2 linked regions of the Tamandua tetradactyla genome follow. The protein of the gene in region 2 interacts with the protein of the main gene of each other region in a biochemical or structural test. Links are inferred from orthologs where the notes say so. Each region holds a gene or a part of one and is shown on either strand. Other genes may lie near its edges. The genes, in order: KNG1 and KLKB1.

Region 1 (16,188 bases), on a different chromosome or scaffold from region 2:
AGTCTGGTTCTGCTGCTGCTTGGCTATATGACCTTGAACATGTTACTGAGCCTTGCCAACCCTCAATTTGCCCATCCATTACACCATGCTTATATGTATTAAGTCCAAGCACTAACACTGCCATCTTCTTTCTCCAGTCTCTTCTGCATTGGCCAATACCAAAGATAGTCCTGTGCTCGTAGATTTCTTTGAAGATACTGAGCCCTACAGAAAACAAGCTGATGAAGCTCTTGAGAAATACAAAAGAGAGAACAATGATTTCACTTCTTTTAAGGTGGACCAAATGGAGAGAGTTTCAAGGGCGGTGAGTCTCCACTAATGTCCAACTACAGCCTAAGGACCCAGTTACAACCTGACAGGCCCATACTGAGTGGCACCTAGCCCCTCTACCTGCCTCGCTTGGCCAGTGGCATCCTTAGTCAAGGCTCCTCATGCAGCTTTGGGGCTATACTAGACAGGCAACAGACACCAAGGAACTGCCCTCCTGCAAGGTTTTTTGTTTTTGTTTTTGTTTTGGAGAGGGGAGGATATGTGAAGGAGAGGAAGGAAAATCTATAAAAGAAAGAGGGTAAGACAAAAGAGCATATTAGAGTTATGTGAGTCATTGGAAATCATCCAGTCCTAACCTCCTTATATTATGATGGCAAACTGAGGCTCAGAGACACAACCAGTGGTATATTTAGAGGTTGATGATTTCCCTGCCTCCCATCCAGAGTTGTCTTGAACAACAACTGGTTGGTGTGTGTTAAACATTTTACAAATGCAAAGTTAAATAAACTATAGTGCATAAAAACAATGAAATGAATGTACAGTTATTAAAAGAACATTTGTACCTATAGAAAATGGAAAGAGTTAAGACATATTGCTAAGGGGAAAAGCATGTTACATAAGAAAACTTAGACTAGGAGCCCATCTGTATTAAATAATTGGATATATGTGCATATGTGCAGTACATTTATGAAAAGACTAGAAAAAGAAACACATCAAAGGGATGATGATGGCACTTCTGGAAAAGAGAGACAGGATGTAGGAAGGATGATTTTTTTCTTATTTTATTTATCTCTGTATAATTTGAACCTTTTTCAATGAAGTGGTAGTCATTTGATCACTTAACATGATCAAAAAAAAGGTAGACACCATAAGAAAAATGGAACCTGTTGCTGATTTTAAATTTCCATAGTGCTCTACAGTGAATTTGACTGAGGTATCTACTGCTTTTTTGGTACTATTATGTTTTACTATTTCCTGACATTTACTATTATGTTCCTGAAATTGTTTTGACCCAATTCATTTCAGAGAGGAGGAGAAAGAACCGGTTACTATTTGGCCTTTTCCGTGAGGAACTGCTCCAAACACCATTTTCCCAGGCACTTGAATGTGAGTATAATGAAAATCTGTAAAATAATAAGTCACATTTAGAGAGCACTTATTATGAGCTAGGAACACATCTAAGAGGTTTATACATTTGTTAATTTACTTGATCTTCACACAATCCTATGTGAGAAACTATTTTTAATCTGATTTATAGGTAGAGAAACCGAGACTGAGAGCAATTTGGTTAATCATGATAATACGATTTTATAATATATATATAATTATACCTAAACTTAAAAATAAATCATTTAAACCATTAAGATTCACTTAAACTACCAGCCAGCTTGTAATAAAACCATCACATGTGGTTTTTTCATTTGCTTTATCTCATTTATTGCTCACAATGATCGCATTTGACAAATGAGGGGGTAACTGAGCATTCAGCAAAGTAAGGATCTTGCCCAATGTTCACAACAGAGCTGAGATTAGAATCCATTTCTCCTCATGGTCATTCCAGGAAGATCCATCTCAAAGCTGGCTCCCTCCATTCCAATATTTTCCTCCAAGGGGCCAGTTAGTTGTCTGAATCCCTCTTCTACACTGTTCCTCATTGGCTCCAGGCATAGGCAACTCAGGTGCCCCCAAAGCAAGTCAGCACTGTTGTGGTATTCCCCACAGCCTCCTGCAGAGCAGCCCAGTCCTGGTTACTGCTCATGGAAGAGAACCACGGCAACTTATGATGAAACACCTTGGAATGTGCACTTACTGTTAAATAACTGGTGGGAATGTTTGAAATTACCCTTATTTTTCTAAAGCTCTTCTTCCTCACCTGAATGTCTTGAAGTTCATGACTGCAGCTGGACACATTCACACCACCTGCACACACTCATGCTAACAGTTGTCTCTCTCCCTTATAGATCTTTGGATTCTGCAAGGCATTGTTCTTATATAGTACAGAAGCCTCTGACTTGGAAACCCCTGAAAATCTTCTAGTAAACTGTGAAGTCTTCAACCTTGAGGTGGGTTGCTGATCTAGTTTACTAGCTGCCGGAATGCAATACACCAGAGATGGATTGGCTTTTAATAAAAGGGGATTTAATTCCTTAGTTCTTCAGAGAAAAGGCAGCTAGCTTTCCACTGAGGTTCTTTCTTATGTGGGAAGGCACAGGGTGATCTCTGCTGGCCTTCTCTCCAGGCCTCTGGGTTCCAACAACTTTCCCTGGGGTGATTTCTTTCTGCATCTCCAAAGGCCTGGGCTGAGCTGCGAGTGCTAAGATGAGGTATGCTGAGCTGCTTGGGCTACACTACATTGAGCTCTCTCATTTAAGCACCAGCCAATTAAATCAAACATCATTCACTGCAGCAGGCACGCCTCCTAGTCAACTGCAGATGTAATGAGCAACAGATGAGGTTCACGTACCATTGACTTACATCCACAGCAACAGAACTAGGTGCCTTCACCTGGCCAAGTTGACAACTGAATCTAACTACCACAGCTGCCTAAGTAGCCTTTGTCACAAGCAGTGCCAGATTAAGTGGGAATTAATTCTTATGCCTCTATGTGTGTTGGAGGTTGGGGGCTGTTCTCTATTGCAGAGACAGAGTTTTGCCTAATTCCACTGCATGAGTTGTAGTAGATCAATAGAGAAATATGTAACTGGAGAAAGAGGGGAAAGGAAAAGAGAGAGAGAACAGGTCCATGGGGAAAGGAACGTAATTGCTGGCATGACACAAAAACTATGAAAACATTTGTCATGAATTGGGAAAAGTTGAGATTTTGGGCAGAAAAATAAAAGCACGACCCAATTCAGTCAGCCTTGAATCAGCTTGAATATGGAACTTTAGTCAGGATCCCACTGCTGAGACTTGATAATTGTTAGCTTTTATATTAGGCATACAACCTAACCCAAAGGGAGTAAATTGACCTCAATTTTATTATATAAAGGTATATAAAATAAGATGCAACACATAGTTTATATCTGTCTCAGAAAGTTTTGTTCTGTTTTATGGATGAGCACAAAGATGTCCTTCACAGTAATTTAATATTAGCAATAAAAAAAACCCTGAAAATAATTCATATGTTCAAGAATCAAGCCAAAAAGGGGAGGGGGGTACCAGTTCTGTCACCATGAACATGGCTCCATAGATTAAAAACAAACGCCTGAACAAGAAGTGCAGTAAAGAGGCAAAACATGTATCTTTAAGGAGGAAGGGATGCTTATATTAGAAAGCTTTGATCTCTGTTGAGAATATAAATCATAAAGTACTAGCTTCCAAATGTTGTTCTATATAATATAGTTTTGCCACTTTATTTTCAAATGAGGAAAGATGGTAGCAAAGAAAGTTTCTCATAACTCAAACTTTATCCCCATCTAAAGGACCAGCCTTTACTCAGACTATTTATTTCTGACCATTGTGTTGTCAAAATATTATTTCTTTTGTGAACTAATGGTGGTTGTAGATGACAGTTTTTGCCTGTATTTTAAATGCCAACTTGACTTGATAAAATTTTGATGATCTTTTGTTGTTATCCCACTTTTTAAATGGATTTTAGGAATCCAAAAGTCTAGAGCCATTGGTCTAAATCAAGGTAAACATCTAATGTCTCATTTTGTGTGAAATAGTGATATTCATTTTTCTGTGTTCTTTACCAGAAACATAAAAACTTCAGTGGCGGAGACCCTCATTTGGGTGGGCATGAGCATTCTCCTACTGACAATCGCCCATTTAAGCCCAATGGGTCCAGAGAGCACCATCATCCCTACAAGCCACATGAACCTGGATGCCCACCTCCCCTAGAAGATAAAGATCATCCAGATAGACCACCATTTCAAGCAGGAACTTCTCCACCATTGCCCCCTTCAGGGTCAAGATGTCATCATTCCCGTTTTGGCATGAGTAATACCCGTGGACCCTCTCCTAATCATAGTTCCAGTGAGCACCATTCTCACGGGCATCATCCCCATAGACACCGTCCCCATAGACACCGTCCCCATGGACACCATCCCCATGGCCATCATCCCCATAGCCATAATTTCCATGATTATGGACCTTGTGACCCACCAGACCACAGCAAGGGTCCCCATGATCACCATCGCCCACCACCTGAGAACTCAGAAGAAAGAGGTCCAGATAAAAGACACCTTCCCTTCCCTTGGGGATATATTGGTTATGTTTATCGACTCCCCCCGCTGAAGAAAGGTGAAGTTCTTTCTCCTCCAGAAGCCAATTTTCCCAGGTTCTCATCACCAAATCAGAACAAGCCCCGAAAGCCAGAGATTCAGCCCTTTCCTCAGTCGGCTTCTAAATCATGTCCAGGGAAGTTCAAGCAAGAGTTTCCACAAATCTTCAAGTTTTTTGCACAATAGCTCCAAAATAAAATCTGATTTCTTAGATGGAGAAAGATGAGTAATGTCATGAATTAGAAACACAAATAAAATGTGACCAGTAATAAATGCAAAATCACAAGTTATTTTAACCTTACTTTCACACTCAGGCTAGGGGGAAATGTGAGTAGGGAGCAGACTGCTTGAGAAGAGAGAGATAAATGGAAAGAAGAGGAAAGATTTCAGGGCTACAAGAAATCTGTCACATGGCCACATGCAAGAAAGGTTGGGAAAGGAAGTCTAGATGTATGTCAAGGAGGAAAGGGATATGAATTTAGTGACTATCTAGCCAGATACTGTCACAATCATCATTTTTTAGAGAAGGAAAAGGAGGCCCAAAGAGGTTTAATTAGTTGCTTAGGATCTTACAGTTGGTAGATTGTGAGACTTGGCCTTCCTCCAAAGCCACATTCTTTCCTTTTCATCCCACTGCCTGTACACACTGCCATGCCCTGAGTTTTGAGTTTTCATTTGTAAAACCACCGTTCAGCCTTGACTAGTTCTTCCTACCTCCTCCTGAACCAGGTACTCCCAGTTATTGCCTCACTCTTCCAGCTTCACCTGTTTCCTTCTCTGATGGCTCATCCTTCCTCTCAGCCTAAGAACTTGACCGAGTCTCATTCACTCTTAATTTTTTACAATCTATTTTCTTCTATCACCCTGAGTCTGAAACTGTCTCACGTCTCTCACCATGCACCTGAAACCACTTTAGTAAAATGTGCTATTGTTAACCAGCCCACTCTCACAGTGATAAAACTTGTAAGAACTAATTACCAGGCCCTGCATGGATGCTACCATATCCACTCTTCCAAAACAAAACAAAACAAAATTATAGTATGATTTTCTAACTTTTACAGATGAAGCAACTGAGGCTTGGAAAGGTTATGGGCCCCTGAGTTGCTCGTGGCCACACAGCAATTAGGTAGCCCAGCTACACGGAAACCCAGGTTGGATTTACTGGCAAAAGCTTGTTCCTACTGCTCTGTCACAGAGCCACCATTCAGCCCACACTGAGCCCTCTTTTCCAAAGGCTCTCAGGGAGACGGAATTACCGAAGTACTGTTGTTTGTAAGCTGCCACAATGCAATATACCAGAATTGGAATGACTTTTAGAAAGGGGAATTTAATAAAGTACAAGTTTACAGTTCTAAGAAAGTGAAAGTGTCCAAATTAAGGCACCAACAAGAGGTTATTTTCATTCAAGGAAGGCCAATGGGTCTGAAACAGCTCTGTCAGCTGGGTAATCATGGGGCTGGCATCTGCTGGTCCCTTGCTCCTGGGCTCCGTTGCTTTCAGCCTCTGTTTCTGTGGGGGTCTTCACTTTACTTCTCCAGGACTGGTTTTCATCTCATGGCTTCCCTTAGCTCTCTCCAGGTTCTGGCTTGCTTAACATCTTATGGCAACGTCTGATGGGCTCCAAGCATCTCCAAACATCTGTGTCTCTGTCCTCCACACATCCACATCTGTGTCAGCTCTGCTATGAAGTTTCTGTCACCTCTGAGGTGTCTGTTGTTTCTCTAGACAATGTAATTTAAAAGGTTTCACCAAAATGTTTCCCATTTAAAAGGATTCCAGTAAACTAATCAAGACCCACTTGAAATGGGTGGAGTCACACCTCCATCTAATCAAAAGTTAACACCCACAATTGGGTGTGTTCCATCTCCATGGAAATAATCTAAGCAAAAGATTCCAACCTACAATATTAAATCAGGATTAAAAGAAATGGCTGCGTCCACAAGATGGCATCAGGATTAAAACATGGCTTTTCTGGGGTACATAATGTTTTCAAACCAGTACAAGTACCAAGCTAGAAATCCTGTCCATAACAGGAAAGAACCCAACTGTCTTTTTATTTTATTTTACTTTTGTAAGGATTGAGGACAAGCATCTACCAAGAGCTAACCCAAGTCTTTAAACCTATCTACAGACCTCCTCTCTCTAGATAGTCTAACTTTATCAAATAGGTGGTGTGTTAGTTTCTTGGGCTGGTGTAACAAAGTACCCCAAACTAGTGACATAAAACACCAGAAACTTATTGTCACAAGTTCTGGGGGTTAGTAATCCAAAATCAAGGTGTAGGCAGGGCTATGCTCCCTCCAAAACCTGTAAGGAAGAATCTTTCCATGCCTCTTCCTAGCTTCTGGTAGCTTGCGAGCAAGCCTTGAGGTTCCATCTCTGTCTCAGTGTTCACAAAGCCTTCTCCCCCAACTGTCTCTGGCTCCTCTTCCCTTCTTATAAAGATCCCAGTCATATTGGATTAGGCCCCATTCTAATCTAGTTTGGCCTCATCTTACCTAATCATGTTTTTAAGACCTGTTTCCAAATAAGGTGGGACCTGGGGTTAGGACTTGATTATGTCTTTGGAGGGGGACACAATTCAACTCATCACAGGTTGTTTAGGCCTGGTGGGTAAGACAACCATATCCATGAGAACAGAAACAAAAAGCAAGCTGGAGCAGGCAGGATGTCATCAAACCTATCTGCACATATGCATCCCCTCTACCTCTTCCACTGGGGGAGCATTTTTCCCTTGCAGAATTAACACAATTGAGTGGAAAGAGGCTGGCGTGGCCAGAAACCAGATAGGATGCTTATACTTTATTTTCAGCCACACCAAGTTCTTGGTGAGGGACTCCCAGCACTCATTTGTTACCTCTGTGTATTGGCTTCCAAGGCATGCAATATGATCAATATGATTCAGCCTGCTTCTATGCAGATATCCTACAAAGAAATTTTATGTGAAAGTTGTGACTATACATCGTACACATTGTAACATTGTTCTTACATGCAGTGACCTTTGTAAATGGCTTTGGGAAAGTCATAAGAAAATAACAGAGCTGGTAGTGGGTTTTTTCCACCTCCTTTATTAGATACTCTTTTGATTTGCTAAAGTACTTTGTGCAATCACCTGGAAATATGCTCTGTGCTAACCTGTGCTTTCAGAATGCAAACAAGCAGGTCAGCGACCCCAGTGTTGTAATGTTTCAGCTCAAAATCTGTTTGGATAACCCAGCACAGCTGTTTAACCTTTTGGAATAGGGCAACCGTGTGTGCCCCAAGAGTCCAATCAGGCCTCCAGGGTGCTGGAGCAGAGCTAGAGAAAAGGACAGAGGAGAGAAGGAGTTGGAGATTGTAAAATCAGCACCCAAGCTGGCTGCAGATTCTTGGTGAAGGCACCCCTCAGCAACTAGAGGGGAGACCATTAAGTCATGAAATTAATTGTTATCATTTTCTTCTGCTCCAGGCTGCTACCAAGTCTGACTCAGGAATCCTCCTCACAGGAAGTTGACTGCAATGACGAGGATGTATTTAAGGCTGCGGATGCTGCCCTGAAGAAATACAATGATGAAAGCCAAAGTGGCAACCAGTTCGTATTGTACCGTGTATTTGAAGTCACCAAGATGGTAAGTGAGCTGTGTCTAACTTTGAGGTCATTTGGGACCTGGACTATCACTTGGGTCCTAGTTCTCTGCCTCCTAACTTCCCTCCCAAGAACTATCAGAGGTAGACTCTTACAACTCTTAGAAATGCATAATGCCACTCTCTGGCCTGGATGTGGCACGGTATGACTCGCTCTCAGGCCACCAGATTTGGCTGCTTGGGTGAGCAGAGAAGCTGTAAAAGCAGGGAAGTGAACAAAGACAGAGCATATGGATGGGATTAAACCAAGTGGGAGAATCCAGGAACTCAGTTGGGCCACAAGAGGATTCGTTGTATCTCTGACCCAAAACTAAAATCTAAAGACCTCCAGGTCTCAGTTGGGGAGGGAGCACTTTAGGACTCCTTAAAGAAGTGTCAGAAGGGAGATTAACATGTTTTACTGCTTTGGTCAAGATATCTCCATGAAGTCTGTATGGTTGACTGTATTAAATTAAACAGCAATGTTTTAGTTGGGCTTTGATTTTTTTTTTTTTTTATCACTGCCTTGATGATAGATTTTCACATAGAAGAAAATCCAGATAGGCTGAAACAAAGAAATACAAGTCTTTCAAGAGATTTTTATTTTTAAATAAGTTTCCCTATAAAAAGCTGTGTCTCTGGAATGGTAAAGCAATTGGTCACTACAGTGAGAAAAGAAAAACAACTCAACTTTTTGAAGAAAACAGCAGTGAATGTGTTTTTCTCTGAAAATAAAAGTAAAAATGACCCTTCAGTCTTCTTGGTGCGCTCAAGCTGCAGTTTAGTGGTTTTGTCTTTGCTCTCCAACATCATTGGCCAATGTGGTTTGTTGTTCTGAAATGTCCACATCATAACCTCTCTATCTTTAATTTGCCACGTGGGCACAGCCTGTACAACTACCACCCTAGTTTAGGGCGTATTTTCCAAGTAGATAGTTATAACTTTCAGTATTTTGAATGAACCTTTTGCTGTCATTAAATCAAATTATCAAAATCTGGAAGGAACCTTAGAGAACATGCTGTTTGACTCCATCCTCTCCTAGCTCCATCTTCTCCTAGCTATAAATACTGTGACCAAGCAGGCCCCAAGAAAGCACTGCTTGGGGTCAGGAGACCTGAGCTCTCTGCCTTTCCAGCCTTATGAAGGTAACTGAGACATGCCCTGTCTGCGCATGTCCTTCTTTCATTTGCAAAAGGAGGGGCTGGAGAATGTTACCTCTCAGATCCCTTGTAGCTCTAACATGCCAGGATTTTGCATCTGAAAGCTCATCTAAATCAGTACCTTAGTAGTTTAAAACTTTAAAGAATTATTTTATGACATCCTAGCAAAATTAGAAAACAAAGCTAATTAAATGCTAAAATCACCTATGCATAATTCCACCCTCCAGAGATACCTGCTACATTTTTAAATATTTATTTATTTATTAATTTAAAAAAAATTAAGAACAAACAAAAACATTAACATTAAATCATTCCGTTCTCTATATATAATCAGTAATTCTCAATATCATCACATAGTTGCATATTCATCATTTCTTAGAACATTTGCATCAATTCAGAAAAAGAAATAAAACGATAACAGAAAAAAAAAAAGATCATACATACCATACCCCTTCCCCCTCGCTTTCATTTATCACCCGCATTTCAAACTAAATTTATTTTAATATTTGTTTCCCCTATTATTTATTTTTATTCCATATGTTCTACTCGTCTGTTGACATGGTAGATAAAAGGAGCATCAGACACAAGGTTTTCACAATCACACAGTCACATTGTGACAGCTGTATCATTATTCAATCATCCTCAAGAAACATGGCTACTGGAACACAGCTCTACATTTTCAGGCAGTTCCCTCCAGCCTCTCCACTACATCTTGAATAACAAGATGATATCTACTTAATGTGTAAGAATAACCTCCAGAATAATGCGTAAGAATAACCTCTGGACTCTGTTTGGAATCTCTCAGCCATTGACACTTTGTCTCATTTCACTCCTCCCTCTTTTGGTCAAGAAGGTTTTCTCAATCCCTTGATGCTGAGTCTCACCTGCTACATTTTGTAAATGAAAAAATGATCTCTTTTTTGTTTTGTTTTTTTCCTATTGTAAAAGTAATTGCTTGTTTTTTTTAATGTCAGACAATACAGAAAGGTTTGTTTAAAAAAGAAAGTGAAAGGCAATTGTAATCCCACAGCTGAGAGACATTTAAACAGCTTGATGTATATACTTCCAGACCTGTTTTAGACATGCATGTACATATAAATCGGTTTTTACAAAAATATGCTAACATTATAGATACTTATTTGTAATCTTTGAAAAACATATTTATCAATATATTGTGAATATTTTCCAAGTAGATAGTTATAACTTTCAGTATTTTGAAAGAACCCTTTGCTGTCATTAAATCAAATCAAGATCGAATATTCTTGACTACATCAGATCTCACTCAAATTATTTGCTTTAGGGGCAGTTGTATGAACATTACATCTCTTTGGCTTCTTTCTTTCAGGATGCTCCCGACACATTTTATTCCTTGAAGTATCAAATCAAGGAAGGCGATTGTCCTGTTAAAAGTGGCAAGACGTGGCAGGACTGTGACTACAATCAAGCTGCAGGAGCTGTAAGTTTGTTGACGACTCCCAAGCCTCCAGTTTATTGACAGATTTTTTCACTTGTACAGAGAATGATTAATATTTTTATGCCAGCTTATGAGGGATGCACCCTCAACTGTGTAGGAAAGAACAGTATTTCATATCTATGTTCTTCCATAGACAGAAAGAGTATAGAGAGACCACCATTTAAGCATGGAGGAAACTTTCTCATCAGAAGGGGACTTGAATGACCTACTGGGGTATGTGCAGGTCCCAGAGAGACAACTGATCAATATTTGTGAAGAGCTCCAGGGCTGGCAGGGACAGAGTGTGGGTCTGTTCCCTTCAGCCCAAGTCTGAATCCTAACTCTGCCTGTGCTAGCTGTGTGACAGTGGGTTGGTGCGACCACTGTACAGACAGTATTGACCTGATCAGGTTGCTGGAGGATGAAATGACATAAACTGTGCATAAAACCTGCTTTTCCATGCCGAAATTTTTATTTGGAAGTTATTCAAACTTACAGAAAAGTCACAAGAATAGTTCAAAGAATTCTCAAAACACTTCATTGGGTTTCATCAATTGTTAACAGTTTGACATATTTGCTTTAGCTCTCTATATATGTACCTATTTTTTTTTTTGGAATCATTTGAAAATATATTGCAGACATGCCCGTTTATTTCTAAATATTTTTAGTGTGTATTTTTTAAGAACAAAGAGTTTCATTTTCATTGCAACAGTATAACTGTCAATATCAGAAAGTATAACAATGATTCAGCACCGTAATCTACTGACATTTTTCAAGTTTTGCCAATTATTTCATTAATCATTTATAGCAATTTTCCTTATTCTGGTCTAAGATAGTCCAGGACCATGTCTTGCATTTAATTTTCGTGTCTCAGTCTTTGTTGGGAAATTTCCTCAGCCTTTCTTTGGCTTTGATGACATTGACATTTTTGAAGGATCTTATTTGAAAAACAATGCCTAACATTTGCCCACCACACTATAGCAGCTTTTATATATTTATTTATTTATTTAGAAATCTTCACACACATGCCTTCTATCCACAGTATAGAATCAATAGCTCACAGTATCATCACATAGTTGTATATTCATCACCATGATCATTTTTAGAACATTTGCATCACTCCAGAAAAAGAAATAAAAAGAAAAAAGCATTAATTTTTTCTTAGCGTTAGGTGTGTTTGGCATTTACTCTTCATGACAAACCCGCAAGATAGATGTGACGTTTCTCCCACACAAATGAGTAAACCAAGCCTTAGAGAGGCAAAGGGGCTGGGCGAAGGTAACACGGTGAGCAAGTGGCAGAGCTGGGCCTGCACAGCACTTTTTTTTTTTTTAAGTAATCATTCGTGAGCCAGTGATACTCCGTATCTATGACCTCAATTTTTTTTTTTTTTTTACTATTTTGATAGTATTTATTTATTTATTTATTTATTTATTACATGGGCAGGCACTGGGAATTGAACCCGGGTCCTCTGGCATGACAGGCAAGCATTCTTGCCTGCTGAGCCACTGCGGCCCACTCTGGACAGCACTTTTTTGTCTCCACGTTCCCTGCTCTTTCTAATAATTGAAACTAAAGTTTATGCAAATGTAATTAATCCCCTGAAATTCAAGGGTGAGTCAAGAGGAGCACTTAGGCTGTTTCTAAGGCATTACATTTACCTTGGTGAAAAACAAACATTTCCGGGGCTCAAACAAAGATTGAAAACCACATCCTTTATACTACCTCTCCTCTGATTTCTCACATTTATTGGTGGCTTAAAAAAATAATCATTTGGCTACAAAAACATTCATTCTTGCGTGTCAACTCTCTGTCAGAAAAATCTTCACAAGTCAAAAAAAAAAGGAAAGTCATATTGACTGACAGCACTAGGCAGACTGCTGCATCTGAAAGACTGAAATGAATGGCCTCTCTTTTTTATGCCTCCCTCTACCCCCCCTTTTTTTTTCTCTTTAGTCCACAGGTGAATGCACAGCCATAGTGTGGAAGAGAGAGAATCAGAAATTCAATGTGAATCAGCAGACCTGCCACATCACTCCAGGTAGCTCATGTCTCCTGGGGCACTGCCCAGAGGGGAAATAACCATTCCTGCATGCCAGAGTCCAGGCTAGCCTGGGAGCCTGCCTTCTCTCCTCGGGGGTGGCATTAGCACTGCCAGGTGCAGCTCTGGGGTGAGCCAGTGCGTAGCTCTAGGGTGAGCCAGGGCGTGAGTGGTGCCAGGCTCATCCCATCATCCCCTCAGCGTCATTTCCCAACTCTCTTCCGATGAATCATTGTGTTATTAGTGGGTGGAATTGTAGGCAGCATCCCATAGAGAGAGAGAAGCATAGGTCTGAGATCAAAACTGGCCTGAAATCCTTCAAACCTCTTCACCGTCTTGGATCTCCTCTTCCTTTTCTATAGAAGAGGGATAACAGTAATTTGCACTTCACAGGAGTGTTGTGAGACTGAAATGAGATAATGGCCCTGAAGGGAGAACGCCTAGCAATCATAATAATGAATTAGAGAGAATAATGATGGAAGTAATCATAGCTAACACTTCAGCAATGTGCCAAGCACTTTACATGAATTAACATGTTTAATCCTGGCAACAACTTTATGAAGTAGATATTAATATCCCCATTTTACAGGTAAGGAAACTGAGGCCCAGAGTAATTAAGTAACCTGCCCAAGATTCCACAGCTAGTAGGTAGTAGAACTGGAATGGTACTCCCTCAGTACATGAAATTCCTTAAGAATACAATCATGGAGCAACTTTTTGACAAATATTAACACTTCAACACCTGCCCTAATGTGGCAGAAGTGCCAAGTGCAGAAAAATGGCCCTACCTAGGTGATGTCAGTCACTGAAGCCTTCCTGGTTCCGTCCTCTGGGTTTTATGGCTGAGGCTATGAAGCAGTATCTCCAGACCTCACCGAAGTGGCAGCTGTTCTGTACTGGATTTAGTCATTCATCTGTAAGCCACAAAAACTCATATCGCTCGAGGCTCCAGTTCTTGCAAGAAGTTGCATTACAACAGAAAAGAAATCACAAGTAATTAAAATGTTTAACTTTTAAAATCTCTCTAGCATTGTTGGGGTATGGTGGAAAATCATTCCATCACCCAGAAAAACTGAGTTTACACCTCTCCCCACTCCCTTCACCCTCGAAATCTACGCAGCAAAGGCTACTCCATCTCTTCTCTTACCTTCATTCAACCTTCTAGATAAGAGCCGGCCACGTGGGTACATAGGTGCGTCAGTGGTAGAACGTTTGCCTTCCACGCAGAGGCTCAGGTTCAAGTCCTGGGCCCCACCCCCGATTGTCTGGTCTTGACTCTACCTTCCCTTTCATCTTAGATGTTTCTCCTTTTTTGTTTCTCCTTTCATCACTAATTTTCTCACCTCTTTCATGTAACTCCTCTTCAGTTGTTTAACTTTACCTGTTTCCCTGATTCAACATCACTTTCTGCGAGAAGGAGAGGAGGGGAGAAAAGTGATGAATAGTCGCCAGTAAAATTGTTTTTCCTGAAACATACTTATGGAAGGAAAGAAAGAAACAGTTGTAATGGGAGTTGTGCGGACCAGCTGACGCCTGAGGGACAGCCTTGAGGGTGCCACTGGCCTCCTGATTGTGTTGGGGCTACGGGCGCAGTGTCGGGGCCACCACCCACTGGGCGAGGAAGTCTCCCCCTCCCAGTGTGTCCCACACTCACCTTTAGCTACTCCCCCCTTTCTATAGCATTTGTCTCCATTCGTCAGGAGGTGAGGGTGCTTACGTACATAACTTGGTAATTTAATACAAACTCGTTTTTAAATATTTGCATCATTTTATTAAAAACCCTTTTGTGGCTCCCCATTCTCAGAGCAAACCATTGTTAACTTACTTGAGCAAACCTATGAACGCAGTAAAACTGTGTGGGAAACACTGTATGTACATTGTCCTGGGGAGGGAGACTTAGTTTTTCTCAGAATTGACAAGGAGTCTATGACCCTTCAAAATACTTAACCACTGGCCCAGACAAGGACACAACCTACAGTTCGGACCTCAGTTTACCTGTCCCTGTCTCACACTTAGACTGTGGTAAAAGGCAGGCTATATATAATTCCTTATATAACCACGTCCCACATCTCTGTGCCTCCCCTTGTCCACCTTTCTCAGGGTGCCATCATTCCTTCTCCTCTCACACCTCATTTGCCCGGTGAACCCTCCTCATTCTCTTCAGCTTGACCATTTCTTCAGCAAAGTCTTGAACTCTTGCCTTTCCAAGCTCTTGGTGAGTTGTAGAATTATATTTAATTCATCTATCTACATGTGTGCCTCTCCCACCTGACTGCCATCTCCTTCAGCACTGAGCATTACTGATGTGTTAATATAACCCTGCCTCCTAGCTCAGCACCGGGCATAGAGTTGGCTCAAAATACATGTCTGTTGAGCTGAGTTGATACAAAATGTATTAAGCCCTGAACCAGCCTTTAAGGAGCTTTGGCACTTGAAACTAATAAACTATCTACAGTGTTTTAATTTTTTTATTAGAGGATAAATTTGTTTGTTCTACAATTAAAAATGACTTCAACTCTTTAGCTATTGTAACAGAAACTGAGAAGCTGCTACTTGGGCATAATCAAAGGAAGGAAGTGAGTAGGGGCTGATGTTCACTGTAGGAGGAAAGGGAGTGGTGAGGGAAAATGTCAGAGCTCCTGCTACTTTCCCTGGCAGGAACGCAGTTTAGCCCTAGGCCAGTTTTAGGGCCTCTGAGGAACCTTTCTGCAAAGCCAGCTCGACTAAGCCCCAGACGCCCTTGAACTGCCTGTCCGGAAGAGCTGCTCAAGTCCATTTTGTCACAGCCTTCCTTAGGAAGCAGTTGTGACAGTCGCCCTAATAACAGGTCTGGCCCAAATGCCGTTCACTCCTTATTCTTCCAGCTCTTTCCTCCAAAACTTCCGCAGACACCTATGTCCTTTGCAGATCTGCCACATCAGGAGTGGCCTTCTTGACTCACAGCATAGGGCTGAGGAGGGAGGCCGCAGTGGTCACTCCCCTGAGTGCCTCCCTCCGCACTGGCTCCTCCAGCAGCCCCGAGGGAAAGCCATGCGCGCCCACCGGCTGCTTTTCTCCTGGGAGTCCTTTGTCCGGGTAGAACGTGTCCTCCCACCCTGGTCTGCCCTTTTGGCAAGGCTCTTCTCTACTGCCTGCTAGAAGCTGCATGGAAGAGATCCCTACCCCCAACTGTGCTTTGTAAAAGAGAGCAGGGAAAGGGCATAAACAAAGACAGACTTGCAGTTTATTATTATTATTATCATTTTGTATGCTGTTTGGTGGGGTCACATTTCATTCTTTTCCACGTGAGTACCCTGTTACTGCAGCACCATCTGTTGACTATTGGGGGGGGTGCGGGGGTGGACTACACAGCTGGGGAATTGAACCCAGATCTCCTCATACTACCCTTGCACCACTATTTGTTTTAAATAAATATACTTTACATTTTAAAAAGTG
Region 2 (15,435 bases):
GCCAATTCAATTTCATTTGACAGATCCAAAAGGTACAATTTCATTGACGTTCTAGATTTAAAAAAAATAGAAGCACACATACACACACACACACACACACACACACACATATATATAAATTGATAGGGTGATTAAGTACTTTGACTTAGAGGGCTTACAGTTTTGAGTTATATTATTGGCATCAGTTATGAGAATAACAATTATAGTACATTTAGATTTCACCATCTAGAGCAAATCATTTACTTGTTGACTTACAGGTTCTGTTCCAGTTTCTTTCTTGACTGTGTATGTATGGCAACCATTTCATGATTCATAGTATCACTATTACCTTATATATCATATATTATTAAGAGAGATTCCCCCTTGGTAATCCCCATTCCTTTGCTGTGCCTCAGAAAGGGGATCAATGACTTTCGGAGCTAGAAGGAATTTAGGGTTTATTTAGTTACACTTCCATGTGTTAGAAATAAGGGAACACAATCAATGATTAGGTAAGTTTTGCCCAAAGTCATTCCATTAGATGGTGAAGGGCTGGATACAGAGAGAGGTTTATACTCCAAATGTCTCTGCTCTGAAGTTGATACATTTTTTTTTACAATAGGCTATTGCTTTATGTAGCTCAGGTCTCTGCCTAGATATGTCAACAGAACTCAAGTCTTCTGCCTTTGATTTGGCCCTATTTCTTCTGAAATTCTTCTGTCTTTAGGGCAAAAAAAAAAAAGAAATCATTCATCTATATGTAGTAATGGAGTAGTACGTCATTTAGTTTAGGGTTTGCTGATAAAGTCAGCCCTCCAAACATACCCATCAGTCTGATAACTGACACACAGTCCACGAACTTAAATTCCATAGATAATACTTCGACCTCTTCACTCAGTGCCTTCTACAAACTTCTTTTAACAAGAATGCTTTTCCAGTGGATAGAGGTGAAGGCAGCACTATACTGTAAGTGTAATCAACAATGCTAAGTGTGAGTGTGGCTGAAAGGAGAAGTCTAGGGTTGTGTGTGTCACTGAAAGGAAAGCTAGAAGAAAACATGGGACTGTATAACATAATGAAACCTGTTTTAGATGATGACTGTGGTTAACTGTACAAATATAACAAAGTTCCTACATGAAAAAAAAAAAAAAGAATGCTTTTCCAACTTTCCCAAAGTAATGGCAAATAGAAGCACACATTAAGAGAATAGAATATGTACTCTTCAGTGGACATCAAAGGAAAAGGTTATGAAACAAAACCCACTGGGCAGATACTTCAGCATGTGGTATTTAGGGCTGGATCAGCAGCTTTCTGCACTTTACACCCCAAACAGCTCCAGTGCATACAATTCAATCCCTAAATTGCTGAGAAAACAAGGAAGTATTTGCTACAGTTGAACAACAGTTCACCAAATGGTTAACCTTGTTTTCTGGAAAGTGGGAAAAATGAAGCAAAGATTGCTCCCAGATGATTTAGGATAATTGTGGTTTTATTCATAGAAATCGGTATTATTTCTCAGTTTTATGTATTTAAATTTAAGCTTAGCCTCTTTTTTTAGTGATTAGACATAAAATTAGATGAAAAGTAAAACATTTCTTAATGTTACCTTCTGTTTTCACATCTTCATTTGGCCCCACAATAATTTGTGATATATGTTTTCATTGATAATTCATTTAAATCATGTCAAAATTAGACTTGAAATATTATGTCATGTTCTGCAGTATCAACATGCAGATGCTGATTTTTTTTTAAATAAGAGGAGGGATGAAATACCTATTTGTATACCTTATTACCTATCCTATTCTTGCTTGAAAGACGTATCTCGAGAAAAATAAAGAGATTTTACACATGGGTGCTGCATCTTATTTTAAGAATCAATGTCAGTTTGAAACATCTTGATAACTTGAAAAGATAAATTAGTGGGTGGCTGATGTCTAATGAGTAATGAAAGAAACAACATTTTAGAGTTTATGTCTTTGGTGACACGAGGTTTCTGATAAACTGTTCCTTATGTTATTGTCAAAGACTGATTTCAAGTTTCCACGAATCTGAATAATAAATAAGAGGCGGAATAGAAACATCACAGCAGTTTGCTCAGCTGATAGCAAAATATGAACTCGCCTAGGGTTTCCTGGGAATCAGTAAAAACCACAGGCATCCTTGGGATCCAGGTATTTGCAGTTGGGAAACCTCTCCAGGTGGCAGACTATTGAGTTGGTGCCCCAATCCCTGGCATAGACAATTGAAGAATGTCAGTTTTAAACCAACTGATGTGATTCACAATTAAGAGGTGCTAGTCAGAAAAAGAGCCTTATCTCTCATGTTTTTATCTAGAAGATCAAAATGTCTTCTTTCCAGCATCTAGTGGGATCACTGTGGCAGATACATTTTTTAAATTCCTGATCTGCCTAGAAAACCTCCCCACTCTTTCTAGGAAGAGCATCCTCATTTTTTAAATGATTGCATTCTAAATTCTCCCTTTTCTCCTAGTCTCCTCACCCCTTGCTTCCTCAGCACATACACACTGAATGTAAGCGGAGATAAAAGGTTTCTAGGGTGATTCCTCCCCTTTTGCTGTAAGTTGATGAATTCCAGCAGAGGCAAATAAGAGTTCTCCCTTTACCTTTTTCCAGCTGATATTGAGTAAGGGGCAGTTAAAATCCTTTGGAGGACACTTCAGGTTTGTGAGGCTTTGGATCAATTGGCAGGAGACGCTCTGGAGCAGCTGCTAGGAGTCGGAATGAAGCTGATAAGAAGCAGCAGAAGTAAGAACTGGAGAAAATCCTGGAGGGGTTTCAGTCCCATGTTCCAGGTGATTCTGAGGGCCAGCTCCTTCTTGCCCATTTTACTGTTAACTTCCTAATGTTGAATCCCTACCTTGGGATCCATTTTACTTAGTTTGGTTGAAGTCCATGGTCTTTCACTTTTACCTAAAAGCAGCTCAACGTTGGTTATGTTTGCTGTGGGATGAAAAAGGGACCCCATTCTTTGGGTATGACCTCATGTCTTCACACTCTTCTCTTTGTGTTCTGCAGTCACTCTCCTTCAGGTTGGAGCATCAACACAGAACATATGTCTTCTAGTTATGGAAATGCAACAGAGCTTGAGTAAGTGCAATGCTATGGTCTTTCATAAATGAAAGAATAGTAAAGGTACAGTGCTTCATTTTAGAACCTAGTAGTGCAACCTAGCACATCAGTCTAGTTTCTCAGCTCCAACCTGTTATATCACTAGACTGATTAGTCTGTTTTTCCTGTGCTACTTTGACCAAGCTCTGCTTGGTTTTTCTTTTGTTTAGCTGTATTGAAAATTGTAGAAAAATATCTCTTGTCTGTAGTTACCCACAGTGTACTGGTGACATTATTTCTGCAGTTTCTTATCTAAAGAGATCCATCAAATGGGTTATTTATTTATTTTGGGCAAATTCAGGGTTTAAATTATCTCCCAGTCTTTAGCTGTTCTTATTCCTGATGTTCTGGTCCTAAAAAGGACATACCAAGGCACTTCGTTTCTCCTTCCGACCATTGTCTTATCATCAGTTTCAATGCGGTTCACATTTACTGAGCTCTTCCCTTCTTAATACTTCTCAACTTAGGTTTCATGGGAAGGTTTTCTGAATAACGACCTTATGATACATTTTTCTGTCCTTCAAAAGGGTCATATAGACAGGAAAAATCTGTCACAATATTTAGATGTGATCAAGTGTCTTATTTTTATAAGTTTTAAGTATTTTAAATGCCATAAATAGTTAAGGTATATGATGTATCGTCATGATAAAAGATATGTAGGCGCAGAAGAAAAGCCTACTGGGCACTCCTGGGAATGGGACTTAACTCTTTTTTACTTGCATCCTTTGCCTCCTTTCTTACTAAAGTCACTCCCAAGTTTTCAGTTTTGGGCTTATGGAAGTACAGTAAATTAAGATGTCTAAATCACTCAGTATAATTAATTTCTTTTTATGGGCACATCATTGTAGGAGTGTGATTGTGCTTTGGTCTTTTCAGTTTTATATGCCTTAATAAATTGTAAACACAATCAACATTGTGAAGCCTGAAAACCAAGATCTAATGACGCAACATTGATGCCGTTGGACAGAATCTCAAGAGAATATCTGTTTCTACCAAAAAACATTCAGTGGAATCACAGCCAACCTGGCTTATTAATCCAACAATCACTTTCAATGCCACCGAAGGCCAGCGCTCATCTTAGTTTGCAAGGGTGATAGTGACTCTCATGTGTGAATTAGATGGTTCCCAACTGTGAATAAAGAGACTATCCTGTCTTCAATCTAGTGTGTTTGAAAATCACATACTTTATAGACAGTGACCCAGTATGAACATATAATTCAATATTCATTTATTTATTTATTCATCATTTCACATATTCATCCCATAAATATATGTCCAGCAGTATTCAGGGCTCTGGAGAAATAAAGCAAACAAACTGAAGTCCCAGCTCTCATTGATGATACCTCTTGCAAAGTAGTAGGAGTATTAGGAGCATAAAAACAATATACAAACCCACAATAGGTTACAGATGTCAGGCAGTGATGAGTATTGTGAGCAAAATTAAAGCCTGATAAATAGACAGGCATAATGGAGCAGACCCTTTTAGATGGGGTATTGAAGAACAGCATTCCAAAGGAGGTGATGTTCGAGCAGAAGCCAGAATGAAATGAGCTGTGTGGGTAGCTGGGAGAGGGGCATTACAGGGAATGGGGCAAGTACAAAGGACTTGAGACTGGAGAATGTTTGATGTGCTCAGAGAACTGCGATTAAACCAATGAGACTGGAGCAAAGTAAAGAGGGGAGAAATTGCGAGGAAACAAAGGCAAAGAATTAGCTCGAGTGTGTGTGTGTGTGTGTAAGGGAGTGGTCTAGACCATGCAGCTTCTTATATTAGAATACTGGGTTTTCTTAAAATATTATTTGGGGTTAACTTCCTGGGGTCCCACTATAATATAAACATACTAACATTACATGTGAATTGTAAGCTTGTAGAGGACAGTGGCAAGATGCTCACCAGTCCCATTTCCTCTTCCTAAATGACAGCAGGACTACATTTCACAGCCTTTCTGACAGTTCAGTATGAGCCAAGGGCCTAAATTCTGCCTATGGAATGTGGGCAAAAGTTCTGACTATGGAATGCAGGCAAAAATTCTGACTACGGAATGCAGGCAAAAGTTCTCGCTATGGAATGCAGACAAAAGCCTGACCATAGAGAGCCCTGTGTGCTTTATCTCTCATTCTGCATTGACTGTGGAGGCCAAATGTTGAAGGTGGTGGCACTGCAAACATGAAAGGAGCTTGGCTCCCTGGATCCCCACTGGAAAAGTCAAGAAGGACAGCCACCCAACCCACATTGGATTGCGATTCTGAGAAAGACAGACACATTTTTTTAGCTGAGTGAAATATTGTGGTGGTTTCTTATAGAATTTGCTAGTATCACTCCAATATGCAGGGCACGTGTAAGAGGTTATCAATTTTAACATCCCATTTTCCCCTTTTAAATATAAAATCATGCTGTTTTATGTGACTTCATACGAGAACACGGAAAATCCAAGATTATTTCTACTCTGCTATTTTCCTCCAGTCTTTTCTGTATTACCCTTCTATTCAGTGATTAAATCCTGTTATTGGGAATGTAAGTACAGGAAGGTGCTAGATAGAAAAATAGGCTGCATTGCTAACGATATTTAAATTTTCTTATTCTTATTTCTTGAATTAAGGGCTAAGTCCTCTATCTTTATTCTCTAATGCTGTCCACAAGGAGCACGCACAATCCTCACAGAGATATCCTCCAGCAGTGCTACAGGAGAGCAGCAGGGAGAGGAGGGAGGAAGCTGTTGCAATAATAGAGGGGAGAAAGGAGGATCGTGGCATGAACAGGGTCACTGTGAAGAGGTTCCCTCACAGTTAAAAGATTTCCTTCATCCTGGTGCTGCTCATTTCCTTCGTGTGTGTGTGTGTGTGTGTGTGTGTGTGTGCGCGCGCGCATGCTGGATGGCAGCGATCACATTCCACTCTTTCCATGTGAGTATCCCGTTATTGCAGCACCATTTGTTGAATTGGTTTTTGTTTGTTTGGGGAGGTGCATGGGCCAGGAATCGAACCTGGGTCTCCTGCATGGCAAGCGAGAATTCTACCACTGAGCTACATTTGCACCCCCTACCCATTTCCTCTGTGGCTGGGTCTCTCCACTTAAGCCCCTGCACAGAAACTGCTGTCAGAAAAAAGTCTCAAGAGTCAGGCAGACTGACTCTGCTCCTTCAGGGTGACATTAAATCAAAATGATACTGCAACTCCTTCACCTCACAATTGTGTTGGTCTCTTTGTGGGTGCTGGTGGGGGTGGGGAGGAGGCACTGTCCTTCGCATGGTCCACTCTGGATCCCAGAGCTGCCTTTTGCTAAATGGGCCACTTTGTGGATCATTCCAGAGCTGCAGCTGGTCTTCATTCCTTCCCTCAACCTCAAGCCATGGGTCTCCATCGCCTGCACAATTATCTAAGAAAAATGTAAACATCAATAAGCACAAGGTTGCTTAGAATAGCATCCCTTAGAGTTGCACAGGGAATGGTCTAACCAATCCTTATGTGGCAGCACTGATAAGATTTTCACTATCAGCCCAGCAGTCTTTTCACTGGATTAGAATTCTTTTCTCACTTACACACACACATACGCAATTCCACTTAGACAAAGTCTTTATGAGTCATAGACTTTATTGAAGGATTGGGGAATAGAAACTTGATGTCTCAGTAATATATATATGTAAAAAAAAAATCCCTCAACCATTTCCAACTGCTTGGGCTCCAGCATTTGGTGGTTTGCTCATGTCCCATGAGCAACTTCCCTCCAGTGTCTTTCAATTCCTTTCAGAGAGTGAGTTGACCCTCCCTTTATTCTGCCCTCTCCTTCCAGAGATTACCTGACCACAAGGACATGATAGCTGGTGTGTTAGGAAATACATTTTTATACCACTATAATCCTCACTGAGGTGCACTGAAGAGGGCAGAAACTGAAATATGACCTTCCTAGGGATACTTAATGTCCTAGCAGAAATCTTTCAAGAATCAAAAGTATATCACCAAAGACTTTCTCAGTGAATGGAAGCTTCTTTTCTTAGTGAGCAGCACAAGGTTGATTTTGTCCCTGTTTCTCTCCTGAGGGCTTATGTATCTCCTGGCCACACTGCAACTTCGTCAGGCAATCAGTCACAGCTGTTTCCTTTTTGGAAACCACAGGTTCTTTTGCAGGTCCCACGGCAGACCACCACTTTGCCTTTGGCCCATCCTCCCCACCCAAGACTCCCAGGGCCTATCAGGGACCCTCCCTCCTTGCCTCAACTCAGAAGTGTCCAGCTCCAAGCCCCCTCACTCTCTCTAGGACATCGTCAGTTCAGATAAGTATTAGCCTCTGTATTAATTTTCTCTTCTGCATAACAAATTACTATAGTCTTAGTGGTTTAAGACATTCATTTATTATCTCACAGTTCTATAGGTCAGAAATTTGGGCAGGCTTCACTGGCTGGTCTGCAAAGGGTGTTTTGTAAACCCCAGATCAAGGTGTGGGCCACACTGGCCTCATTCAAGTGGTTGGTAAAATTTAGTTCTTTGAAGTTGTAGGATTGAAGTCCTGTTTTCTTGCTGGCTGGTGGCCAGGGACATTCTCAGTTCCTGGAGGCTGCTCTCAGGTCCTTGTTCCATAGCCCCCTCCATCTCAAATCCAGCAGTGGAGAGCTTCTCTTGTCGAGAATCTGTCTCATGCTGTAAATGTCTCTGACTTTTCCTTACGCTAATATCCAGAGGGAACTGTCTGCTTTGAGAGGGCTCATGTGATTAGACTAGGCTTGTCTGGATAATCTCCATTTTGATTAGCTCAGCGTCAACTGAATAGGAACCTTAATTAGACCTGCAAAATCCTTTTTGCCATGGAACATAATGCAATCACGGATGTGATAGTTCATCATATTCAGTCTCTGGGATTACTGGGGAAGTATTAGGGAACATTCTAGAATTCTCCTTTCTGCCTCTTTTCGACTTAATTCTGATTCCATTCTCTTAAATGGACAAACACATTTGGGGCTTTATTGTACTACTAGAATATAATTTATATTTCACTACAAGAAAAATTTCAAGTCAAACACGGAAGCATTTAAATAGGCAAAACCCGTAATTTCACCTTTTAGAGAAACACCCTCTGATGGCTTCTACTGTAATCTGGAGGAAGGGTATTTTCATCTTAATCATCTTTTCTCCTGTTGAGGCTGGTAGCAGATGGAATCCAAGGCTTAAATTATTTAAATTATTTTATATTGCACAGAGAAGAGGTTTCTCTTTTGTTGGTAACTGGTACGCCAGTTGATAGCCTAAATCTACAAGGCAGTGCAGTATACATTTTTGAAATACACCTCTTCATTATAACCAGAAAATATTTTATCTGCAAAATTATCCTACATTTCTAGGAAACACAGTTATGTGTTGTAGTAACATGCATAAAATATTTATTGAAGATTCAGCTCCCCCTAAATCTAACTTTACTCCCCAGAATGATGTACCAAATTTCTAAGAGGGGCAAGAAAACAGAGGAGATTTAGTAGGCAAATGATTATAATCTCTAAATATTTAAAAAAGCATAGGAAGAGTCATAAATTATTTTGTGTGGTTCTAGTAGATATATCAAGGACTAAATAATAGTGGCTGCAAGGTGGTATATTTTAGGATAAAGGGAGACTTCTTTAAAACAAATGAAGAGGAAGAAGGAAAAAAAGAATTGGAGTTCCTTAAGCAGGAATGTACTCTTGAAAAACCAGTGATTTCCCTTCAGTGAAGCATCCTGACAGGGAAGGCTAAACTCCACACAATGAGTGGTTTAGCACAGGTTTCTCCAACTTTTTCAGTAAAGGGACAGACGGTAAATATTTTAGGTTTTCAGGCATACAGTCTCTGTTGCAATTATGTGTTTGCAGGGCAAAAGTGGCCATGGACAATCATAAATGAATGGGCATGACTGTGTTCCAATAAAACTTTATTTACAAAAACAAGGGCCAGGCCAGATTTAGTCCATGGGCCATGTTGATCCCTGATGCAGTAGGTTTCCTGAATTGGGTGGGTAGAAGATCTAAACATCAATTAAAATCTCTTCCAAATGAAAAGCTTCAGTGTTATATTATTCTTTGACTTGAGTACAGGAAGGTATAAACGGCATTTACAAAATTTCCCTCCAGGATGAGCTGTTCATACCCACCTTTTATTCAATTGTGCCTCCAGGCAACTCAAATGGAAAAACTCCAAAACAGATAAACTCTAATCTATCCAACCTCAAATAACCGGGATGTAGTGAATATTCCAAAGCGCCGAAACTTGGGCACGAATTGTGTGGCCCTAGGATGAAATAGTTAATCTATTAGAAAAGATTGCTGAGCTCAGCAAAGGGATCATGGAATATTTGAATAGAACAAAATACTGAAACTGTTGGCAGATAATCAATGTCAATATTGGAGCCAGGCAAATATTGTCTGCAGGGACCCATTAGGAAAGCTTGAGGGCAGTCCATTTTTAAGTGGCAAGAAGACATCCTCACCTCCAGAACCACGGAAGCAATTGTGCTTTCAGGTAGAGAATTTCTATTATTCTGATTGCTTTCAAATAAAGTGGTGTTTTTAACTATAATTTTTACAATATGAAGACGCTATTAGTTACATATTCTAATTTCCCAAGTATTTTAGAAGTAGGAGGAATTGGTGTTCTTACATGTGAAAATACTTAGGTGTAAGATATTTTAAAACCAAAGAGAATATTTGACAGATTTTGAAATTAGAAATGGGTTTGAATTTTCTCAGAGCTTTTCTTTACTTAGGCCTTCTGGACTGTGTTATTGCTATTATTTACATTAATTTCATTTTTGCTAAAATCAAGGGGTTTCACAACTATTTACTTTCTCTCTATCCAATTCCCTTTCCAAAATGATTAATGACATGCTGCAATCAGCAACAAATATGATAGTTGTCTAGAGTTTTCCATTTATATCTTCGGAAGCATTCCACGTTTTCCAAGTCCCTGCACAGAAAATAGACAGAAAGCCCTTGTTCTCCATACTGGCGATTGTGTGCTCAGATTTGCAGTTAGGACATTTGTAAGAAAATCTGCACCGCCTTACATTAAGATTCATGTTGAATATGATCCACAACCAGCAGAATTATGCAAATGTTGTTTTCATTTTTAGGATGATTTCATTCTGGCAAGCATCCTATTTCCTTTGCTTATTTGGTACGGTGTCCTGTGGTAAGTAAATGGTCAACAGGGCATAAAGCTAAGGACGTGAAAAAGAAGGGTAGTTAAGATACACCATGCTTAGATGAAACTACTAAACACACAGCTTCAGGGAAGTAGGCAGCCCTGGAAAAGTCAACAGCTCCTACTGCTTCAATGTGTGGAGGCCAGGACCTCTTCCCAGATCTACTGCTGTGGACACGTATCACACACCTGGGCCAGGGGAGCTCCAGAGTTCAGAGTAACATATATGTGCAACCAGAAACTAGCATCTGGAAATAACTCTCTGCAAAGACAATTTCAGTACAATTAGTCCTCTACTTTTTTTTAAATCAACATTCTTTTCTTTTAAAAAAAAAGTCAGCTATACTTGAATATTCAAGAATGCTAGGCATTTTAGAGTGTCTGGCAGTGGGTGCATGGCATATACTTGCACTTTTTTAGGCCACTAGGGAACCAGTTTGGAAATGAAAGTTCTTGACTTAAATTTAACTTAGTAAACCATCCATTTGAAAATCTTTGGCTGGATATATTTCCTCACCAGGATTTGGTCTTATTACTCTCTTTGTCCATTCCATTCATTTTCAGAGAATAAGGATAATTCTGTACATTGCTTTTCACTAGTAATTGCAGAGTGGAGTTTTCTCTGTACGACCACAAGGGGTTAATTCTGAGTCCATGTTGACATAAGATGGCCACAGATGCGATGGCTGTTTAGTTACGATTCAGGTGTATGGCTAAGATGACCCTGTTAGTAAGGTTTATATTTGTAAAGAGATATAATTTCTTCAGGAAGACGCATTTTGAAGCTTTTATTCCTTAATCACAATGCCATCTGTCTCTTCACTCCAAAATGATCTTCTGAATCACAATAATTACAATATAAAAATTTATTGAATACTGAGAAAGAGTAGAAGCCAGAGATACTGTGGACCAGGACCAGAGCCACTTCAATTTTATTCTTTTGGCAAAAAAAAGCTGATCATGATGGGAAAATGCAAATAAGCAGGAAATGAGAAACTGTATATGTGGAGATAGCCATTGTTAAAAATCCTTTGTTTAGTCTTTCACATATTTTTCTATATATGCCTATTACACATTTTAAAAAGATGTTAAATATAGATGTTCTTTTACTCTTATGTACCCCATTATGTCTATCTTTTCATGCACATAAATATATATCACTTTTGGGGTGTTTAGCATTTATTCCTATTCTTGATATTTTTGTATGTGCATTCTCAGACATATATTCATTACTTTTTCTAGAATAACTTTTTGGAAATAAAGGTGTGAATAAAAATATTAGCTACAAAGGTGTGAATATTTTTGGAGGTTTATGAAGGTTTCATGACAGGTATGGATGAAATTATCTTCTAGAAAGTTTATTCCAAAGTTGACTTTTTCCAGCTGCATATATAAAGCACTCATTTTTTAAATTAATTTTTTAATTTTTTTAAAATACCAAAAAAACACCAAACGCAAACATTCTTAACGTTTGATCATTCCGTTCTACATATATAATCAGTAATTCACAATATCATCACATAGTTGCTTATTCATCATCATGATCATTTCTTGGAACATTTGCATCTATTCAGAAAAAGAAATAAAAAGAAAACAGAAAAAAATTCATACATACTATACCCCTTCCTTTCATTGATCACTAGCATTTCAATCTAAATTTATTTTAACATTTGTTTCCTCTATTATTTATTTTTATTCCATATGTTCTACTCGTCTGTTGACAAGGTAGATAAAAGGAGCATCAGACACAAGGTTTCACAATCACACAGTCACATTGTGAAAGCTATATCATTACACAATCATCTTCAAGAAACATGGCTACTGGAACACAGCTCTACATTTTCAGGCAGTTCCCTCCAGCCTCTCCAGTACATCTTGACCAGCAAGGTGATGTCTATTTAATGCATAAGAATAACCTCCAGGATAACCTCTCAACTCTCTTTGGACTGTCAGCCATTGACACTTTATTTTGTCTTATTTCACTCTTCCCCCTTTTGGTCAAGAAGATTTTCTCAATCCCTTGATGCTGAGTCTCAACTCATTCTAGGGGTCATTTATCCATTCTTATGTCAACTTCATAAGATATCTGCTGCTTTGTGCTTGTGGCAGTTTGGAGCCATGTACCATGGAAAAACATGTTCATAATCTTAATCCATTCCTGTGAGGGTGAAACCTTAGAAAAGGACCTTCAGATGAAGTTACTTCAGTTAAGGTGTGGTTGAGATGAATTAGGATGAGATCTTAATCCTTTTACTGAAAGTCTTACAGGAGAAGCCAAGGAGAGAGAGAGAGAGAGAGAGAGAGAGAGAGAGAGAGAGAGAGCAAGCCAGAGGGAGTAGCCAGAGCTGAAAGTTAACAGAACCTGGCAAGGAGAGGCCTCCATGTGCATTGCCATGCAACAGAGAACCCAAGGATCAAGAGCCACCAGCAACCAGTACCAGAACAGTCTTCTGGGCAGAAGCATCACCTTGAAGATGCCTTCATTTTGGACTTCCCCTTGCCTCAAAACCATAAGCCAAAAAATTCCCATTTTTTAAGACAATGAAATACATGGTATTTGTTTAGGCAGCTAGGAAACTAAAACAGTGGTCCACATCATTCACCTCTGGGAAGGTATATTCTAATTTACTTCTAGGGAAACTGCACTGGTCCCAAAGTTTGGGTCCATGTGGTTCTGGTGATGCTTTCTTTGCTTCTGACTCTAGGGCTTGGGACCCAGCCAGGTAGGAACTAGGTAGGGCACACATCCCATAGGCCACAGTGGCCCTATCTGAGCCAAGACTTTGCAATAAGATGTTTGCTTAGATTTCTAGAAATGATATTCAGTGGTTTTCAATTAGGCCTGAACTAAGAGAGAGTGAGAACGTCTAAGCTGCTGGTGCTATCTTGATACCAGGTAGCGCTTGATACAAACAGCCATACAATGGAGTAGAACAAGATGGAGGCCAAGTGGGTCCTGATGGGACTGGCTGAGCATGACACATTTACTCCTGAAGTCAGATGTACCATAAGCTTCATGGCTTCTGAACCAATGAACTTGATTAGGATTTAAGCCATTTGAGCTGGGTTTCCTATTATTGGCAACCAAAATCAGTACATCAACACTGGGTATTTAGACAATTTTTTTATCTGCTATTTTATCAAATAGCATCTAATTGCTTTAATTTGCTTGTATATGAGATATTTGTGATTTTTCTTATACTGTTCTAGTTTGCTAGCTGCCGGAATGCAATATACCAGAAACAGAATGGCTTTTAAAAAGGGGAATTTAATAAGTTGCTAGTTTACAGTTGTAAGGCTGAGAAAATGTCCCAGTTAAAACAAGTCTATAGAAATGTTCAATCAAAGGCATCCAGAGAAAGATAACTTGGTTCAAGAAGGCTGATGAAGTTCAGGGCTTCTCTCTCAAGTGGAAGGGCACATGGTGAACAGTCAAGAGTTCTTTTCTCATCTGGAAAGGCACATGGAAAACACGGTCAGGGTTCCTCTCTCATCTGGAAGGGCACATGGTGAACGTGCCATCATCTGCTAGCTTCTTCTCCTGGCTTCCTGTTTCATGAAGCTCCCCGGGAGGCATTTTCCTTCTTCATCTCCAAAAGTCGCTGGCTGGTGGACTCTGCTTCTTGTGACTATGCCATTCTGCTCTGCTCTCTCTGAATCTCATTCTTCAAAATGTTTCCTCTTTTATAGGACTTCAGAAACTAATCATGACCCACCTAAATGGGTGGAGACATGCCTCCAGCTAATCCAGTTTAACAACTGCTCTCGATTACATCACATCTCCAAGGAGATGATCTACTTACAGTTTCAAACATACAATGCTTAATAAGGATTAGAAGAAATGGCTGCCTTTACAAAATGGGATTAGGATTAAAACATGGCTTTTCTAGGGTACATACATCATTTCAAACCAGCACATATACTTACTAGTCATTTGTATTTATTTTGTAAATTATCTTTCTTATATCCTTAGCCCATTAAAAAAAACCTGATTTCCTTCATATCATTGATCATATACCTTCTTAATAAGAGAGAACAACCTTCCCAAATCCATGATTTGGCCAGTGTGAAAACTGCAAGCCACAACCAGGATAACTTACACAAGAGTGCTTCACATATACTCTAAAGTACATTTCAAGTACAAGACAAAGATCACTGATTTATGAGGATAGACAAAAGAGTACCCATTGGAATTTTTTTCCAGTCACCCCCAAAGCTGGCATCCTTGTGTGTGCTGAATCACGTGGCAGCCCACACAGGCTTGATTGCAGAATGAGAACCCCTTGGCCAGCACCTGCCACTACTTGTGTGTGCATACTTGGAAGGAAGGGCAGAGTGCTTGATAATTATACCTCAGTCGAAAACACCAATTATCTGAAAGAACAAGCTTCTTTCCCGTGACCAAGTCCTCAGTGTTTTGTGTGCATAGAAAATCTAGATGTGCACAATTGGGAACTGGTATTCTGAAGAGAGCTGGGCTCTTTTCAAATATAAAACCTTCCCCAAGGGTGGTCCTCTTAGCCATACCCCTGAGAGGAAGAGGAAAACTCTGCTGTGTTTGGGAGTCACAGTGGGGTTCAAAGCCAGAATCCTGAGACTGGTGGGATTATACAGAGAAACTTTAATCTGCTGTGTTTAATGCTATCTAAGCGTCCTGTTCTCTGGAAGGCAATATAATGACAGTTATTACAAAAATCGGACAGTGACTATTGGCTTGGAGGGGGGATGAGTGATGTCATCATAGGAATATGGGGTGGTTAATAGTCAGTTCACTGACAAAAGTGAATGTGCGATCTGAATTGGAAAGCTTAAGTGGATGCTGAGGTGAGTTTTTCAAGTTAAACCAAACTCATGTATTAAAAAGACTAAAAGTAACACTTAATTCCCTAATACTACGTGGGGTGAGGCACTTCTGAGCTGCGGATAATTCCAAAGAGCAGATAGTTCAAAGTTTATTTTCTTGAATTTGCTTAAAGTACCTAAAAAATGAGCATATAAAAACTGAACATATATAGCCTCCTCTGCAGTTATCTCCAAAGTAATAGATAACCAATAAACATTACTTGCTTAAATTTATCTGAGACTGATGATAGATATTTAACATTGCACAATAGAGAAAGGAAGGAATCTGGGATTAAGAAGTGGGTTCACGCCACAGGGCACT

The links.
Region 1: the proteins of KLKB1 (region 2) and KNG1 form a complex in vitro, tested with the Homo sapiens proteins (4 studies listed by BioGRID). The link is inferred for Tamandua tetradactyla from reciprocal best matches to the Homo sapiens genes KLKB1 and KNG1.

Annotation. Positions count from the first base shown.
Region 1 is NC_135336.1:5,692,078-5,708,265, forward strand, and holds the start of KNG1 (kininogen-1), read left to right. Parts: upstream 1-7,730; 5' UTR 7,731-7,909; coding exon 7,910-8,104; intron 8,105-10,604; coding exon 10,605-10,715; intron 10,716-12,668; coding exon 12,669-12,753; intron 12,754-16,188. Other genes in the region: HRG (histidine-rich glycoprotein), read left to right, coding at 138-304, 1,297-1,377, 2,232-2,333, 3,969-4,682. UniProt on the Homo sapiens protein: Kininogens are inhibitors of thiol proteases.
Region 2 is NC_135352.1:26,246,274-26,261,708, reverse strand, and holds the start of KLKB1 (plasma kallikrein), read left to right. Parts: upstream 1-9,504; 5' UTR 9,505-9,590; intron 9,591-10,200; 5' UTR 10,201-10,201; coding exon 10,202-10,259; intron 10,260-15,435. UniProt on the Homo sapiens protein: Participates in the surface-dependent activation of blood coagulation. Activates, in a reciprocal reaction, coagulation factor XII/F12 after binding to negatively charged surfaces.